2 linked regions of the Nothobranchius furzeri genome follow. The protein of the gene in region 2 purifies or fractionates together with the protein of the main gene of each other region. This does not show direct contact. Links are inferred from orthologs where the notes say so. Each region holds a gene or a part of one and is shown on either strand. Other genes may lie near its edges. The genes, in order: cell cycle control protein 50A and atp11c.

Region 1 (4,404 bases), on a different chromosome or scaffold from region 2:
TCTGAAGAGCAGGGTCTTCAGGAGTTTCTTGAAAATTGAAAAGGAAGCCCCTGTTCTGATAGTGCTTGGAAGGTCATTCCACATTTGTGGAATTTAGATGAGTTCATTTATTAGTGCTGGAGGAATTCCCTGTGAATTGTAAAGAGGACTATTTATTTGCTGAAACTTGAGACATTTCGAACACACTTTGGAAACATTAACCTTCACGGACGTGAGCAGGCTGTAAAAGTTGAGTTAACTGGTTGTAAAAGTTCCAGCTCAGTGATCAGATTTGCTCTGTGTGGAGCCGTCAGACTGCTACACTTCTGTACGTGCCCTTCCTTTCATAGACACCCATTATTCAGAAATCTTGGGACTGATGCCCACTTAGTAACTTTTACTTTATTCTGATACTTTTAATCAACTCCTGCCTTTTCTACCAAGAAATAACCAGATTTTATTCATTTTATTCTTAATTTATTTTCAGTTCTTGTGAAATCTGCATTTGCACAAAACTCACCGATCTTCCAGAAGCTGTTCAGGGATTTTTTTTTATGTTAACTGAATACAAACAACACTCGATAAAAATATAAAAGATGATGAAACGAGCCTTTGTTTTAAATCTGGTCCAACTGCTGCGGTCATCTCAAAAGTTGGAAAAGTCGACGAAGCGCTTACACAAAGAGAAAATCCAATTCAATTTAAATAAAGTGGGTTTTGCAATTCCCAGTGACTGAATCGGCTGCTTTAACTCTTGATTCCAGATTTGAATATGAAACAAAGCAGGAATCCTCCCTACACCTAACCAGAATTCAAATCACAGCAGAAATGTTATGCACTCGTGTCGTATAAACCAGCCTTTCTCAAATGGGGGTACGTAAAGAAACTCCAGGGGGTACGTGAGAAAATGTACATACATTTCAAAAAATAGTATCCATGGAAAATCTTTAAAAAATAATTATTTAATTAATATTTTCCTAAAATATGTATTAAATAATTAAATAAAAGTTCATAAAATGTGTTTAGAAGTAGAAGTAGGCTAAATTCATTATCCCAAAATCGCAGTGTTTTTGCACATTTATGGATTTTTCAATGGGTAATCTTATGGTTTTAAATAGTTATATGGTGACTGTTTTCAATTAATTAATTAGAATCACATTTTAGTGATGAAAAATATTTCCAATACATTTAGTAATGGATTATTAATATTTAAAATATTTGAAGTAGTTTATTTTCAAATGGTTGAATTTTGTACTTGTTTATCAGTTCCAAAATTTAATAAATCAGTCACTGAAGGCACCGTGCTCTATTTAAGGTCTTTTGTTTCTTACAACCAAAAAAGCTTTTGCGCTCATTAGGGGGTACTCGGCTGAAAAAAATATTTCACAGGGGGTACATCAGTCAAAAAAGTTTGAGTACCACTGGTATAAACAACACTTCTCTTAGTAATAAATAGTTTTTAAGACAGATCGATGATTAATTTCAGTTGACTTGCCTTCACTACATTGCATTTTCAAAGGAAACTAGAAATATAGCCATTCTTTTCTACTCAGAAGGCAAAGAGTTTTAATTTAATCAAACTTATTTCAAAAAAGAGGCAACAAAAGAAATCAAAGCTCTCTGAAAGGTAGCCTGCATATTTGATAGGTACAGCAATCAATGCTAAAATAGCTTTTAAACAAACCTCGAGTGTTCTTTTTATAAAAAAAATAAGTCGACCCTAATGGATGATCAATGCCAGAACAGAGACGGCTGGCCTTTACTCTTTTAATGCAGGAGAGTGTTGTCGGGATTGAAGCTGAAGACATTTATTATTCATGGGGTCGATATAGATCTAAGCTGGTGCAGGACCTGAGCTCACCTCAAACGGCTGCTCCAACGTGAAGTTCACAGTGCAGGAGCACGACGTGGTGCTGTTCCAGCTGAAGTTGTTGGCGCACGTGTAACATGGGCTGTCCACATTCACACCGGTGTAATCGATCTGAAAATGAGCAGAAATAAAACATCAAAGGAAAAAGGAATGTTGCTTTCTACGACTTTCATTTAACACTTTTGGTAACCAGATTGTTTTGTGTGTGTGAATTACCCATTTCTGTTTTTGTTATAATTTCATAGCATGTGGTGCTGGTGTATGTCAGGTTACAGCTCAGTATATTGCATTTGTTTAACACTGCATTATGCTAGAAAAAAATTATACAAATCCACCCAAATGCAAATTTAAGATACAAATAGTGACTTTATCACGGGCAAAGAAAATATCCAATCACCCATAATGCAGAACAAATTGATAGTATGTAGATTTATCTAAATAAACACGTAAAAGCAGCCTTCTGGGTAATAAACAGATACGGGTTGTGTATAATTATTCTAAACTAACGGATAATTATTAATTATGTAGAGATATTTGAGACACAGCCCTTTTAAGAACCTGTCTGCGCTGTTTTGCTGTTACTTTAAATTTATACTAGGATCAAAACAAAGTCATACATCTAGATTTGAAACCCATACGAGGGTAGAAATGTCTGATTTAATTTGCCCAGCTGTGGTTTTAGAAGTTAGATAAACACCATCTAGAAGAGAAGATAACAGGAACTGTACCTCGAACTCTTTAATGTTGTTGGAAGTCACATACAAGCCGATACCGATGGGGATGAAGATGAGACCGATAACGAAGAAGGCGGGCAGCACGGTGCCAGCCGTTAGAATCGGCTGCCAGGCTGGTAGTCTCTGCTGTTTGAACGCTGTGTTGTCTGGTTTTTTACTTTTAGCAGTCCCTGCTCCTCCGTGGCTCACAGAGCCCGAGTGGTGTCCGTCCTCGTCCTTAGCGTTGTAGCTTGACGCCATCATGGTTGCGAAAGGCTTTGCACCTAATAATCCACAACAGTTAGATACCGGCAGATACTCGGTGGTTCTACACGGTCAAATGAGACCCTAGACGGCAAGAGATGCGGAAAGAAATCCCGTCAGAAGTGAGACCGACACTTAATTCGATCCTTTTCGACTTTAAATTCGATTCATTTTGTTGATGATTTCATGTCTTCCGTGAGCTTGGAGAAGGAAGAAGCCGGAAGCGAGAGAGCCAATGACATGATAGAACGCTATAGTGACGTCAACGCGTAGCGACAGCTCTCCGGAAATGTTTATGTTTATTTTTGTTTCAGCTATAGTACAGTAGTATGGTTCATACGTCAGGACTTTCTAGCTTGTTCTCATTTGTTATACTAACTATGCTGTTAACACTGACCGTAAAACCGTAGAAAATTAAAGTGGCATGTTTTATTTTGAAGAAATCAACAGAAAGTGCTGATGAATTTAGTCTTGTATGAGCGCTGTCCTTATTGACATATTTATTCCGCTAGAGGGTGGAATGTCCGGAAAGACGGACATTAAAGGTTTGAATTCTTCTGTTTTCATCTAGTTGCGCTAAATACAACCTATAAATCCATTATAGACTAAGTATGTGGCCATCAACCAAATCAAACGTCAGATTGCAAGTAATCAAATGAAAAGTTTGTTTAGACGCAGAACAAAAAGTAAAAATAACCACATTTCTATTCAATTCTATCTTTGTTGTATTTGGTTTTTATTTAGTTTATTTAAGTAGTTTTTACATCCATTGTGAAATCCAAATATATTCATACTTTTCCTGTTTAAAACAAAATAAGGACCTTTTTTTAAAATTATGTCAGTATCAATGTCTGTGTGTGTTTATTCGATGCAGCAGGACATTTATTGGTCTTTGAACTGAGGCAAAACATCAGCCATCTCAGCCTAGAAAAGTGCGGTTCTAGCTGAGCTACTGCACAATACCCTCAAGCTCCCAAGCCTCTGGTCAATGACCTGAGCTCGGAAGGACATGGATAACACGCTCACTGATTACAATTGAAATAAATTATATATACACATATATATATATATATATATATATATATATATATATATATATATATATATATATATAAATATATATATTAGGGATGCACCCATACCGATATCGGTAAAAGTTAACCGATATCAGGACAATGCAGTTGCTTGAAAGTGGCTTCACTGTAACTTGTCATTTCTGTTCACCTAATATTTTAGTTTTGTGATGATTTCTATTCACATATTTTACTTTTTATCTACCTCACAGGCTGTTTCTGTTGAAAGCAGAGAAGAAAATAAAACCTGTATTCCAATTCATTGCTTTTTTTTAATTAAAATTTTTTGTAAGTGGTAAAAGTATTGGTATCGGCGAATACACAGATCCAAGTATTGGTATCGTATCAGTTTGGAAAAAAGTGGTATCGTTGCATCCCAAATACTAGTATAAATGTTTCACACACACACACACACATATATATATATATATATATATATATATATATATATATATATATATAACATTTATACTAGTAAGAGAACAGTTTTCTGCCTTTTTATCTG
Region 2 (3,825 bases):
ACTGAGTCGGACGGCTGGAGGCACTGGGCTGATTGGGGGAAGCTCGAGTCATCGTCACTACCTGGCTTCATACATGTTTATTTGGTTAAGACAATTCAACTTCCCCCTGGATTTTAACTGGTCTCCCTGCCCTGTGTCATAGGCACAACCTGCACAGACTGAGCTTTTATATGGGCATTTAGCTTTTGCAATTATTTCTAATAAATTGTCTATTTTTGAAGTGATCTGATTTTGTACTACATTGTCCACATTAATACTGGTTGGTCAGATTCACTTCATGCAACATCTTGGGGGCTGATCTTCGGGTGTTACACATATATAACTGAGCATTCAGGAAAGTTTAAACTCAAATAAAAACCAATGAAACTAAATTTACCCTTTTAATTGTCCTATGAAGTGTAAATAAAAACATTCACCTGTAGAGGGCAGCGTCTTCTATGAGAAAAACATTCACCTGTAGAGGGCAGCGTCTTCAATGAGATCCTCAATGCTGATGCGCTGCTCCAAAAGGCTGTAGGCCAGGATAGGCATGGAGGTGAAGCAGATGTTGTACATCGTCAGATAGGCTGCATCATACAGGGGCTGGGATGGATGGACCAGGAGGAGGTAATGAGGAGGGATGGGGCAACCAGGGGTTAATTTTATGGAGAGGACTAAACTCATAGAACCATTTTAACACACTGTCATAGTTACTTTTACACATATCTATATGCTATACCTAAACACCTATAGGTGTGATTTTTAACATGTTGCACTAAAATGTGTAGAATTAGAGATGCAATGCTTTGTGCTCCATTTCATAACAGGCTGATGTAACACACACGTAACCAAGATTGCATCATATTCTAGTAGAATCTGATTGCTCTGTAATTTGTCAACAAAGCAGAAACAAGCCAGGGCTGGTAAGGGAGAAAGCTTGAAGGGAAGAGTGTGGTATTCAGGAGGATTAGGAGCTACGGATTTAGGAGCTCTACCTCCTTTAAATATTCAGACTGTTTCTGAACCTCTGTGTGAAATTGGGAATACTCACTTGCTGGGAATATCCACAGAAAAACTGGTATAAAAACTGCGGTAGGATGAAGCAAAGATTCTGTGGGCAATACAGAAAAACAAATTAATACAATCAGTATAAAATCTGAATAAATCTGTTATTTTGTATTCATTTATCAGCTGAACTTGATTAAAATCAAATTTGTGAAATTAACAAATTAATCTGAAATCAGATTAACTTTTTGTTGACAATCCAAAAACTTTCTCAATCCTAAGAAAAAATTATCCAAAGAAATAGTTTTCCTACCTTGTAAAAGAAATACTGCACCAGGTGTGCGATGCGATGATAATACAGATGGCCGTGAGCCAACAACAGTTTCTTGAGGTGTTTGAGTTTAGGGATAGCATAATCGCTGTTTCTCACCGCCTGCCGACCTTCCTTACCCTTGATGCCTGGAACACCAAGAACAAAAATTATGACGCGATACATTCGCCCCAAAAATGTACAATTACTTGTGGTTGGAGAAGCCCTTACCAATGCCAACATGAGCTTCCAAAATCATGCTGACATCATTAGCTCCATCTCCAATGGAAAGAGTGATGGGACTTCCTTTAGAGCTTTTCACCATTTTAACTATCTAAGGGGCAAACCAAGACACATGTAACCAGGTCAAGTGAGATCACTTAACAAAAACAAATGGTTCTGATCATTTCTTACCTGTGCCTTCTGTAATGGAGCCATGCGGCAGCAAAGAACAGCTGTACAGTTTTGACAAATCTGTAGGAACAGGTCCTTGTAACTCCTCATGTTGGATTCAGAGGATGAATTGAGCACCATAGATAAAGAAGCTCCATCAATGATAAAACCATAATCCTGGTTCGACGCAAAACAGACCCTAACACAGAGAGGAAGAAATAGGTTAGTGCTTTAAGTTTCAGCTTAGAGACGGACGGACGGACGGACAGACAGACAGATCAATGTAATTATTTCAGCAGTACCAACCTGGTGCCACCTGCCTTTACCGGTGGAGCATCCTGAACAGCTCTCTTATGGTATTCACCCAAAAGTTCATGAAGTCGCTCCTCACGCTTCCTCTCTCCATCCTCTAAAGTACGCACAGTGAGCTCCAACAGTTCTGTTTTCCTCTGGAATAAACCACAGGCATAGCAGGTAGACTTGGCTGTCTCCATCTTGTCCCCCGTTAGGACCCAAACCTTCATCCCTGCTCTCTGCAAAGCTTCCATCGTCTCTGCTGCCTCCTCTTGAAGGCTTTGGAACAAGAAAGCATTAAGAATTAAAAATGATCAGACACAAAAACAGTCTCCTCATAACTCAATAAGCCTAAAGCACATATGTCAGACACAAGGCCCGCGGGCCAGATGCGGCCCGCGGAGCATTTTTATGTGGCCCGCGAGATAAATATCAAAAATATATTAAAACTGGCCCGCTGGCCGATTTTACCGCAAATACTTCGACTCCCATGATGCTTTGCGGCGCCAGCGCGGAGCAGACGCGCCCCCTCCTTTGTGTTTTTTCCAGCGTCTGCTGCCGGTGTCTGCAGCTCCGCTGTCTCGGACAAACTAAACACTCCTCTCACTCAGCACCGAGTTCACTCAGCTGTTTTCTGACGAAGCCCAGAAACGGAGATTCTAGCCGCTCAGTAATGTGTTCACGACTGAAAGAGAAAGTTTTCCAACTAACGTCCAGACAGAGCTGATATAACTCCAGCGAGCAGCGACACGCTCAAACCAGCACGGCTCTGTGGTTGTGTTTCCTCCCCGACACACAACAACGTGGTCAAGCTGCTCAGACATGTTCAGCAGCACAAACCTATGTGAGCACCTGTTGTCATCCAATGTTGTCATTATTATGATGAAGATGAACAAAACAACAGGAGTCTCCTCCTCAGCTCAGATCAACCCCATGATGCAGGTATCTGGCTGGAACAGGTGAGCATCACAGTAAACCAGTGGAGCAAACTGAGCTTTAAGTATTTTGGTTTTATGCTCTTTTTCTGCTTCAAAACATGAAAGTTAACAGGTGAGATGTTGCATTTTCATTTAAGATAAAATGATATTTTTATGTTGTTGTTGGCCCGTGAGAAAATATTTAACCTACAGTAAACAGGAAGTGGAAAGGCTGCAGATAGATGAATAGAATAGAAAATCCCTTTATTGTTCCTCAGTGGGGAAAGCTAGACGTCACAGCAGCGATGACACGTATTACAGGAGAAAAAAAAATAAGAAAAATGAATAAACAAGAAAACATAAATCCTGAATAGATTTTAAAAATGCTGATTATACCACAAGTAATGAATACCACTGATGCCTTTTATTTAAAACTGACTTGCTCGTGTGTCATTTGGTTATTCCACATTCAGTGTTAATGCAGAAATAAGTTTGTTTCCTAATTTAAAGGTTCAAAATTGCATATATGTTGATAAAGAAAATGTGCAAATTTGCAGTCACTTTTTCAAAAATATTAAGTTTGGCCCGCGACTCCATCCCAGATTTTCATTTTGGCCCCGTGTGAGTTTGACACCCCTGGCCTAAAGCATATTTATGCCCTAAAGGGAAAAAAAGACAATAACATGTGAATATTACCATCTCAGCAGGATTAACTAGTGCATCTATTCATGATTTCACATTGTGATACGTTTTAGCATCTTGATTTTGCATCTAGACCAATTTCCTGTAATTCATAAATCTGTCAGATGATGCAGAGCTTCATTAAAAAGCCTGAGAATGTTGCAGCTGTTGCTGCTCCCACAACATAACTTTATGGATCCAGTTTTGTTGCTGTTTTCAAAGTTTGTGACTGGGTAAAAGTGATGT

Evidence for each region.
Region 1: the proteins of atp11c (region 2) and cell cycle control protein 50A purify together in Homo sapiens (co-immunoprecipitation; 4 studies listed by BioGRID and IntAct, with this or other methods). This does not show direct contact. The link is inferred for Nothobranchius furzeri from reciprocal best matches to the Homo sapiens genes ATP11C and TMEM30A.

Annotation. Positions count from the first base shown.
Region 1 is NC_091758.1:36,697,962-36,702,365, reverse strand, and holds the start of cell cycle control protein 50A, read right to left. Parts: upstream 3,032-4,404; 5' UTR 2,827-3,031; coding exon 2,578-2,826; intron 1,961-2,577; coding exon 1,841-1,960; intron 1-1,840. UniProt on the Homo sapiens protein: Accessory component of a P4-ATPase flippase complex which catalyzes the hydrolysis of ATP coupled to the transport of aminophospholipids from the outer to the inner leaflet of various membranes and ensures the maintenance of asymmetric distribution of phospholipids.
Region 2 is NC_091741.1:83,723,301-83,727,125, forward strand, and holds part of atp11c (phospholipid-transporting ATPase 11C), read right to left. Parts: intron 2,261-3,825; coding exon 1,994-2,260; intron 1,887-1,993; coding exon 1,709-1,886; intron 1,629-1,708; coding exon 1,526-1,628; intron 1,444-1,525; coding exon 1,298-1,443; intron 1,091-1,297; coding exon 1,031-1,090; intron 583-1,030; coding exon 455-582; coding exon of another isoform or gene 451-454; exon of another isoform or gene 417-450; intron 1-416. UniProt on the Homo sapiens protein: Catalytic component of a P4-ATPase flippase complex which catalyzes the hydrolysis of ATP coupled to the transport of aminophospholipids, phosphatidylserines (PS) and phosphatidylethanolamines (PE), from the outer to the inner leaflet of the plasma membrane.